2 linked regions of the Caenorhabditis elegans genome follow. The protein of the gene in region 1 purifies or fractionates together with the protein of each later gene. This does not show direct contact. Each region holds a gene or a part of one and is shown on either strand. Other genes may lie near its edges.

Evidence for each region.
Region 2: the proteins of haf-9 (region 1) and F32D8.3 fractionate together in Caenorhabditis elegans (co-fractionation; one large-scale study listed by BioGRID). This does not show direct contact.

Annotation. Positions count from the first base shown.
Region 1 is NC_003279.8:6,079,878-6,086,498, reverse strand, and holds haf-9 (ABC-type antigen peptide transporter), read right to left. Parts: upstream 4,688-6,621; 5' UTR 4,684-4,687; coding exon 4,579-4,683; intron 4,536-4,578; coding exon 4,458-4,535; intron 4,412-4,457; coding exon 4,317-4,411; intron 4,172-4,316; coding exon 3,798-4,171; intron 3,762-3,797; exon of another isoform or gene 3,694-3,761; intron 3,692-3,693; exon of another isoform or gene 3,560-3,691; intron 3,512-3,559; coding exon 3,394-3,511; intron 3,352-3,393; coding exon 3,221-3,351; intron 3,154-3,220; coding exon 3,075-3,153; intron 3,033-3,074; coding exon 2,906-3,032; intron 2,710-2,905; coding exon 2,594-2,709; intron 2,544-2,593; coding exon 2,462-2,543; intron 2,413-2,461; coding exon 2,284-2,412; intron 2,238-2,283; coding exon 1,906-2,237; intron 1,735-1,905; coding exon 1,511-1,734; coding exon of another isoform or gene 1,476-1,510; intron 1,460-1,475; coding exon 1,353-1,459; intron 1,309-1,352; coding exon 1,204-1,308; intron 913-1,203; coding exon 667-912; 3' UTR 542-666; downstream 1-541.
Region 2 is NC_003283.11:10,884,929-10,888,495, forward strand, and holds F32D8.3 (TIL domain-containing protein), read left to right. Parts: upstream 1-1,908; 5' UTR 1,909-2,041; coding exon 2,042-2,222; intron 2,223-2,267; coding exon 2,268-2,335; intron 2,336-2,422; coding exon 2,423-2,911; 3' UTR 2,912-3,045; downstream 3,046-3,567. Other genes in the region: F32D8.2 (ATPase_AAA_core domain-containing protein), read left to right, coding at 1-37, 83-213, 257-337, 383-493, 537-687, 739-887, 938-1,001, 1,058-1,174; F32D8.11 (uncharacterized protein), read right to left, coding at 3,062-3,192, 3,244-3,316.

The sequences.
Region 1 (6,621 bases):
TAGTCTTGCACCCCTACGGGTCAATTGAAAATTAGTCTTGCATTCAAGACTAATAGAGGAAATACGGTAATTGGGTACGATAGGAATACGGTAGGTTTATACGTTATGTAAGTTTCTACAAATGTAACTACTTCAGTTTCTCTGTACCAAACTTTGAAGAATTTTTTATTACTTTAAAGATAACTGAAATAGTGAGCCGTTGTCTACGAGATCAAATATGTCCGAAAATTACCATTTGGTATCAGTCCGAACAAATCGGTATTTATATTACCAAAGTTGTTTCTTCGTCAATATTTTGAATTTAATTTAAAAACACATATATTATTCAATTTTCAATCTCACGTGAGAGAGTGTGAGAGAAAAAGAGGAATTTTGAAATAAATGAAATTGAGAGAGGCCGTGTAGACTGAAGGTATTTTTGCAACCATGATTGTTTCAATTTCGTTTCAAACATGTTATCTCTACCGTATCCCGATTCTCAGATCAGAACAATTTCAATTTCCTCTTCCTTCTTCTAGGCTAGAAAAATATATAGACATTTCAAAAAACCTTTCATAGATAACAACATGAGCAAAAAAAAGTGTAATTCAGATTTAAGAACACTACTCAACAGATTTAAAATAGATCAAGAAACATTTCAATAAAATCGCGAGCTAGAAATAAGATTTACAAATAGCTGCTTGCAAATGAGGTACCCAAAAATGACTGGCTAACAGACTGTGATGGACTTCTAATTCTACGTGCTCCGGCTCTAGTGCTACGGCCTGAACCTCCTTCGCGGGCTGGTTCGGGCTCCTCAATTTCGTCATCAAGACCATCCTCTCCGCTCATCATTTGTCGTTGGACCAATTGTTTGTAGAGTCCTTCTTGTTCCATTAGGGTCTTGTGATTTCCAAGTTGTTCAACTTTTCCCTGAAAGTTTTGGGCATTAGTTATATTTCTTATACAAAAGCTGAAAATGGCTTGAACCTGGGAAACAGTGATGCGATGCGAGTTTTTAGGATTTTCCCATATTTTCTTATTGCTCTTTTTTGGTAAAATTACGAGGAGATGTGAAAATATATCCCTATCGTATATTAAGTGAATTCGATAATTTTTCAAAAACGAACATCTTTGACCTAACTCATGGATTTCTTGAATTTTTCAAAATTCTCTTTTTTGTAAGTGTTTACTTTCCAAAAACTGTAGATATTCAAAACTAACTTTGTTAATCACAACAATCTTATCTGCATTCTCGACAGTAGATAGTCTATGTGCAATTAGGATAACAGTTTTTCCTTTCAAGTTTTTTGAAATTGCTTCTTGGACCTGAAAAGATGTAGTTTTCGTATGAATGGATCGAAAAAACTAACAGTATGTTCTGATTCAGCGTCCAAAGCAGATGTAGCTTCATCGAGAAGAAGTACAACTGGTTGACGGACAAGGGCACGGGCAATTGCGATTCTTTGCTTTTGACCTCCTGCAAATACTTGCTTTCAAAGTTTAAATTTCAAAGAATTAGAATACACACCTGACATTTGGCTTCCTTTTTCTCCAACATTTGTATTATATCCATCAGTGGTGTCATTCATGATAAAAGTATGAGCATTTGCGAGTTTCGCTGAATTTTGTACCATATCATCATCGTATTTGTCTAATCCATAGCCGATGTTTTCCGTGACCGAACGAGCGTATAGTACGGGCTCCTGTCCCACAAGTGCTACCTTGGTGTGCAAGAATTTATGATCGTATTCTCTGGAAAATTGATTGACCATAGAACAAAAACTAAAGCTGGGCCATTGTCATAAGTGGCTCAAAGGTTGCTCAATCATCAAATCTTTTGAGATTCCCAACGAGAACTATATGGCAAACTCAAAGGACTTCAGAAATTTTTTCAAAAACTTGTGTGGTTTTTTGTGCTCTCACCTAACCGGAACTCCGTCAATTAGAACTTCTCCACTTGTTGGCTCATAGAAATGTTCTAGCATTGCAATACATGATGACTTTCCACCACCAGATGGCCCAACGAGTGCAACAACCTCTCCAGGTTCGACAGTAAATGTCAAATCCTCCATAATTGGCAGATCTGGCCGAATTGGATAACTGAACGCCACGTGACGGAATTCAATTTTTCCTGTCATACCGTCAGGTGCATAGGTTCCAGTGTTTTCGACACGTGGTGGACGATCAATGAACTCAAATACTTTTCTAGATGCTCCGACGGCTTGCATAAGTCCGTTCCAAACTTCTCCCAGTTCCTGGAATTTGGTAATTTATAACTGGATTTCCTGGTGATAAACTTACTCTCAAATTCTCCCCGAGCTGGAATTGATACAGAAGAAACGAGACCAATAGTCCTGATTCTACTTTATTCTCAATTACCAAATGTCCTCCATACCACAAGACAATAGTGAGGATTCCCATTTGAAGAAGCTGGAAATATTTGTTTGGGTTACTGTACCATAACTACAATAACACTAACCTCATTTGACCAAATCAAGCCGATAACGACGAAGACTTTGCGAGTAGCAATTTTGAGAGTTACGTTGAGGAAAGTCATGAATCTAAACATTTTGGAATTCAAGAAAAATATTGTTACTTGAAAAAATGTCACCTGCTAGATTCATAATTCTCACATGCGAACGATTTGACAGTTCTAATCGAGGAAAGTACTTCCTCTGCCACGTCATTGGCCTTTGCCACAGAGTTTTGAGTTTCTTCGGAGAGCATCTGAAAATATTTTTTGTTTGCTTTGAAAAACCTAAAATATTTCAACATGCTTGACATGAATATATTCAGTATTTTTGACCAGCGTTCAGTATATTTATACAAAATCCCCCAATACCTATACTCCAAAAATCTTAAAATTTGACTTAGATTAACTTAGATATTGCTTGATTTTTCTTCCAACTAGTTCCCAACTTACATCATACCAAACTCCGAAAATTTTATTGACGAGGAAAATGATCGGAATATTGATCAAAGTGATCATTGAGAGCTTCCAAGACAGTGTGAACATGAAGATTAAAGACCCGAAGAGCATTGTCAAGTTTCTTTAAAAATTTTAATTTTCAAGTTTATCTTCGATATCTCACCTGGTAAGAACATTCATGTAGAGGGACAAAGTGTTCGACATTGTTTGACAATCAGCTGACAGTCGAGAGCAAATCTCTCCTGAAAGAAGTTACATTTCTTACAGAAAACCATTATTTTGCTATTCTCCTCCACATTAAGTACGAACCAGTTTTATTCATATCAAAGAACCCAATCTCTTGCTTCACAACAGAACGGAATAGGTCATTTCGAATCTGTCGATCGATTGTAGCGTGTGCATAGGTGAATGATCCTCCACGAAGACCACCAAATACAGTTCTGAACATTTTTTTTCCAAAAGGATATTATTGTACAACTTACGAAGCCAATGAGAGCATTCCCATTATGAAAACGGTTTTGTGAAGCTTCTCATATGAAGCTTTATCACCGAATACTGCTGTTACTACTTCTCCAGTGTAATATGGAATGAACACTCGACCTGTATAATAATTGACCAATTACGAGTTTTATCAATTGATTTTTTCTTTCTTTAAACTTCACTAACAACTCTCCTTCTTTCTCGCAAATAAAAGCGCCCTTCTCGCTTGTCTCGACTTGTTTCACTCGCGGCCTAGTGGTTAACGCGGCCGGCTGCCGCTCGCCGCTCCCGAGTTCAACTCCACGCCACGTGATTTAGGTTTATTTGCTACTCTTGATTAACTCTCATGATGACAAGAAAGTATGATGGCTTTTAAAACTTTTTAATTTTTGAATAGAGAACTTACTAAGGGAGTAGCAGAAAAGGAAGAAGAATGCCATTCCATAGTATTTCCACTGCCTTCCCATGTAGCCCAAAAGTCTGAACAACAATTGGAAGGTTTCTCTTTGCTCTGCAGCTTTTTCAGCTTCCTCCTGACGGAGTCTCTCCTCGTGTTCAGCATCTCCAAAAAGAAGAGAATCTCCTGTTCCTGCTGCAACTTCTGTTACATGAGCAAGCACAGAAGTCCAGATTCCTTGAAGAAGAAGTGAAGCGAAAATACACCAAATCATAAGAATCCAATCACCAACTGCCAACCGGATATTGTCATCTTCATAGAATGCTAGAAGTTTCGATGGAGCAAATGCAACAATCAAGAGCATCATTGCAAAAACTACGTTCCTGGAAATTATCATGTTAACAAAAAGTTTCAATGATTTGTTATTCGGGAATTTGGAATGCGCCTTCAAACGACGAGTACTGTAACAAATTTGATTTTCTTTGAATTGATTTTTCCCACTTGAAGTTCTCAAAATTGGCAACTTACTTGACATTTTCGGCGACTTGTGAGAATCCGGAAGGTGAAGCCCATGCTGAAACTGCTCCGCCGAGCAAAATACTGTCACGAATCAACGCAACCGCCTAAAATACTCAATTTATGGTGGTTGAACAAAATTTTCTGATCTACCAAAAAATCTACTGGATTTTTCAAAAAACTATAGTTGGCCAAATCAAACCAGTGAGCGATATTGTCGAACGTGAAGTACTGAAAAGAGATTTTGGTTCGAATTTTGAACATATTTTCATACTTTTCCATTCCAAGCAAGTCCGAATACATTGACCAGAAGATCGAGGCCAATGAACGCCAGGCATATGAAAAGGGCCTGGCCACCCGTGTAAAGAGAAGAACTCATTCTTCTGAAAATCTCGAATTTCTCAAAATTGCTTAAAAAAAGAAAAAAGTAACTAGAAATGTAACTTTTTGGAGTATCAAAAAACGAATTAGGAAAACCGAAAAATGGAAACTCTGTCCCACTCTTTATTGATAACCGTGATTTGCTATCAGTGAATTTTAGGAGAATGGCAACTCTCCGCAGTGCTTTCTTCAATTTACTGGTGGACAATCAGGGAAGATAACGAATTATTCTTTCTCTTCGGCTCTCGTTCTCTCGTTTCAACTAAATAATCAGTGTGATTAGGCGCTGCGGGCGCTTGTCAACCATGTAACTGCCAATTTGATGCAAAATTGGATGCTCTGCGGGGGTGAATTGTTTTGCATGTGAATCTTTGTTTGTTTTCAGGATTTTTCAGAGTTTCAGACATGTCTGCAGACATAAAAAATCGACAATTTTAGCGCAGGATACGGTACACCACGTCGCGTCTGCAATTTTCCGTAGTTTCGTGTGTATTGTGTGCAGTAATATGTACTCCTCTCGGATAACTTCCACTTATTTATTTTTTTTCTTGATTTTCTTCCTTTTTCTCATGAAAAGTGTTTTTTTTTGTGTAAAATAATTTTAAAACATTGGTTTTCATAGAATTTGAGTTAGATTGCGCTATTCCAACGTAAAATGTGAACTCTTTTCGGTTTGTTTAGAAAAAATCAAGAAAACACCATATTTTCAAGCGTTGAAAGGTTAGATATTGAATTTTCAAACTCAACTGTCCCCAAGTTCTCACTTTTATTCCGATATCTGAATGCAACCTCTCCGATTACCTCAGTAAATACTCCTTAATCCTCCTACACCACGCGTTTCTCAATGCCATTTTGGTTTGGCCCCCTTTTTCGTAATTAGTAGTTTTTCCTTTCAACCCACATTTCACCTGAAAATCAGTTGTTTCCAACAAAAAATCGATGCATTTTCCAATTTGCATACACGCCAGTGTTTTTTGTTCAGTTTAAACGCGGACATCGAGAGTGAAGAAATGAATAATCTATTTAAATTGAAGAGACACAGAAGCTGATGGAAAGATTGAAATCGGAAATCGAGGTCGTCTTTCTAGATGACCGCAGGCTGAACTGGACGAACGAATGAACACAAGAAGTGTAGAGATTGTGTGGATGTGAAGAGGAATGAGAGAAAAATGGGAGAATTGGTTGTACATATAGTTATGTGTACGTGGACGACGACGTAGTTGTTGTTCGTTTCTCTTCAGTTTTCATAGTTTTCGCGTCCGAATTTTATCAGTTTTTGTTGCGTTTGGACATTCGGTCTTCCAGAACACTTTTTCGTCTTTTTTCTCTAGATTTTTCATCCGGATTTCCTTTTACAAGCTGCATACGCAAATTCTACATTTTGCAACCGACTAGCTGGTTCATAAATGCCAGCTGGCAAGATTATTCTTCACCCATCTGCCGGGTATGTTCTCTTGTGTATTCAGTTGGAAATTCAATCCAGAGTGCATTTTGATCCTCGATATACAATTATGTTTTATTTATGTCTAAAAGTTAAAAGTTCGAAGAATTAATTATTAAAATAAAAGTAAGAGATTTTTAAATTACTCTGAAGGACTTGAAAAGGCCCGAAAAGACCAAAGAAGACCTAAATAATTAATTTCCTCATTCATTTTCTTTGTTAACAAGTGAGAGTCAACAAAATAATTTTTCTACTAAACACTTTCATTATTGCACAAGATTTTGAATGAAAAGTTGCAGTTTTCGCATTAAAAAATCAGAAGATCAAAAAAAATCAAAAAATCAGAAAAAATCAGAATCAGAAGATTTTTTTGGTAAAATAATATTTGTTTCAAAATTAAAAATCAGTTCAGAAAAAAATCCTTTTAACCCGTAGTTTTTTTTTGCTCAATTTTCGAAAAAAATTGCTCGAAACTGCTCCCGAATTCTTGTTGTT
Region 2 (3,567 bases), on another chromosome or scaffold:
CTTAATTGATGGAAACTTATGTTTGAAAAATGGAAAAGTAAGTTTTATATTTCAAAAAAAGTTTATATCACAATTTTTCTAGAAATTAGTAAATGATCAATTGGAAAAAATCGGAGCATTTCTGACATCAACAGCAGATTCCAAGGTGTTTTCAGCAATGTTTATTGATGAATATGATGAATATCGTAGACAATCAATTGATCAAGATTTGAAGTATTATAAAAGTTTTTGAGGAAAAAAACGGACCTTTTTTCAGAAAAATGTTGGATCTATTAAAGGAATCAAACATTTTCGAGAACACTACACTAATCATCACTTCGTACGACTTATCAACAAAGTGAGATTCTTATTTACATTACATGTTAATTTGAACAATTTGCAGAGATATTGAAAACGAAAACGACAAATATCCAATGTTTGCTTTTCGTCCATCCAACCAATTCATAGAAAATAATAATCAGAAACTATATTTCATGAATATGAATTTCAACAGGTTAGGTCTAAAAATTATATTTAAAAAGAATATCTGAGTTTAGGTTATTGTCTTCTACTAATTTCAATCAAATGCTTGTTGAATTAATCAATCCGAAAGAAAAATCTTCAAAATCTGTCTTCATAGCTCAACCAACATCAAGGAACTGTACGTCTGAAGGAATATCAGAAAATATATGTTTATGCATGAATATGGTAATTTCTTTGAAAGTCGGAGAAAAATATAATTATACTTTCAATGTTTAGAGTACATCCTCTGGGTATCCTGAAAAAGGCGAAAAAAACTTCCTTCAAACATTGCGAACAAGATTTACACAAGAAGTGAAAACACACAAATGTGTTCGTTCGTTTGAACTTGAAGATTATAAAATTTTTTATGAATACTCAATTGGAACGTGCGTTATTTTATTTGTATTTCTCTACAATTAGATAAACTGTTGTTCAGAAGTAAGGAAGTACGTGGCGTAGAATTGACCGGATTTGTGAATATTATCAGTTCAAGGGGTAAGGTAAGTTCAATTAATTTTATCTTTTTTTGTTGCAACTAATTTGTTTTTTTTTCCAGAAAACCCTTTTGCTGAAAAAGATGTTCACCTTCAAACCGGAGTTTGCTTCATTTAATAGTTTCGATACAGCAAGGGTTGTTGTCGGTTATGAAGTTAACATTGGTATTGCAAGGTAGGGATTTCCGGTGGAAATTGTTTATTTATTAATCTGTTTTCAGCATGTGTGATTTGTAAAACAACAATCTCACAGGCACTGGCAAAGATTAATACGAGATTCCAAATTTCAGAATGTCACATATCTCACTATATAGTTTGTTCTTATTATTTTTCAAATTATATATGAAATTGATTTTAAGCATATTGTTTTTTTTCCAAAACTGACCCACATAAACAACGAATTTTCATCCCCCGTTTCACCTCATTTCTTTCGTCCTTCCTAGTTTTTCCCTCGCTTTCCATTCTCCTTTTTATTCGATTTTACGCCCTTTTCATCAGCTTTTCCCCTCAATCCTTATCAAATTCCATTACATCACCATGTTCCTCTGTGTTCTGTGATTGTTTCCATATCAATTAGTTCTGTACAGATGACCACCTTTTGTCCGAATCCCCAGCCCGTCTCGTTCGTCACGTTTTTCACTCACTTTCTTCTTCAGTTCGGTTCCACAAACGGCTTCCGTCTGCGTCTCTGAACATTGTTTCACTGTTTCTTCTCTCTTTTTTTTGTCTACTGAGACATACAAAACCTTGTAATAATATCTAGATGCAGGTCTCACCTTACTGTACTATTTTTCGAGATCTGAATTTCCTCGAGACTATTAAAGACGGACTGAAACAGTGGCTACTTCTGTAGAGTGAAGCCATGTTTGAATGTTTGAAGGCCGTTCCTCTAGATTTTTATAGCTTTTATCGGAATTGCCCATCATCATCAAATTAATAATATCGTATTCCTTTCCGATTCATATTCGCACCTTGCCATTCCATTTGTCTGAACTGTTCCATTTCCATCTCTCATTCATTACATTCACCTACATTCTCATTTGCAGATGCATACTCTCTCCATTTTATTACCTTTTCTACTTGTGTTATCCACATTTTCTCAAGTATCTCATGAGTTCCGGCATAAAGCTTTTCGAACATTGAAAACTCCAAAAGTCAATAAACAAAGGTTATCTTTGATTATTCAAAGACTACGTATGAATGATACCACTAGAATAAATGGAGAAGGTATGTAATTTGAATGGGAATTTAAATACAATTGAAAGGTTTCAGAAAACTGCCCTATGTTCCAATCATTTTCTCATTGTGCCTGTGAATCAACCTGCAACAATCCAGACCCGGTAAGAACCTTTTTTCTCAAATCCAATCGTAAATAACAGGCAAAGTTTCCAATAGTACTATTATCGGTATAATTCAAAAAATTCCAGTATTGCTCTAAATGTGAGCCTGGATGCACTTGTCGAAATGGATTTGTTCGGAATTCTCTCAAATTGTGTGTTCTACCGGAAGAATGCCCACGGACCAAACTTCGACGTTTTGAACTACAACCACCTAGACGACTCTATGAAGCCGTTCCAGTTGTTATCACAACTACCACAGAAGAACCTACTAGAGCAACAACTGAAGAGCCGACAACTGAACTTATAACAGCTACTGAAATTGCTGATGAACTCGTAACAGTACCACTGATAGTTCTTCGTAATGGACCAACACCTCCATCGGCTCCTCCAATGCTACAAGAACTCTCGTCTGACATGATCGGAGCTCCATCAGCAACTCCTCCTCCAGACTTTTCCTATGGGCCACCAGGAATGAATGCAGCAAAAGTTGCATTGTATGAGAATTTTCTCAAACAAAAACGAATTATGAGAGCTCTCCGTCATCGCAGAAACCGGTTTGCAAAGAGAATGTTGTAAATCTTGGTTTTATTTGATTAACATTTTATTTCATACAACAAGATCTCATAGATTCATTCAACTATAACAATTTTTATGAAAAACGATGTGCGGAAACATGTTAAATACAATAAAACAATTTAAATATGAACAATTAAAATCTCAATTTATCTACAATTTTTCATGATGCTTCCGATGTCTTTTTCCGATGGAAGCCACTTTTTTTGACGTATCTGGAACTATTTCAAAAACAGAATCCACCGCAACTCCAGTGTCATATTCATAGAGCTTATAGTCAATATCTGAAATAATTATTTGCTTTAAAAGTATGAAAGTAATCAAAAAAATGTTACCTTTGAATAATGGCACACATTGAATTTCACAAAATGCAAGCACAGTGAAATACAAAAACAATAAGAATTTCATTTTTCGAGATAATTTGAATCAAAGTGTAGTTTTCTGCAAGGAATTATCCACTAAAAAAGCAAAATCTTTTCCTTAAATACAATCCAGTCTTCCAGATTCTAATCCTTGTTCTTTTCTCCCGTGCCGGTGGGTATCATAAACGCAAATCCGCTTTATCAACTACGTCCTGAATAAGTGAAATTTCTGTCTTTTTTGGTATAAGCTTATAAGAAATTGGCTTCCGTTGTGAATATTCCTGGTGTTTGAATCAT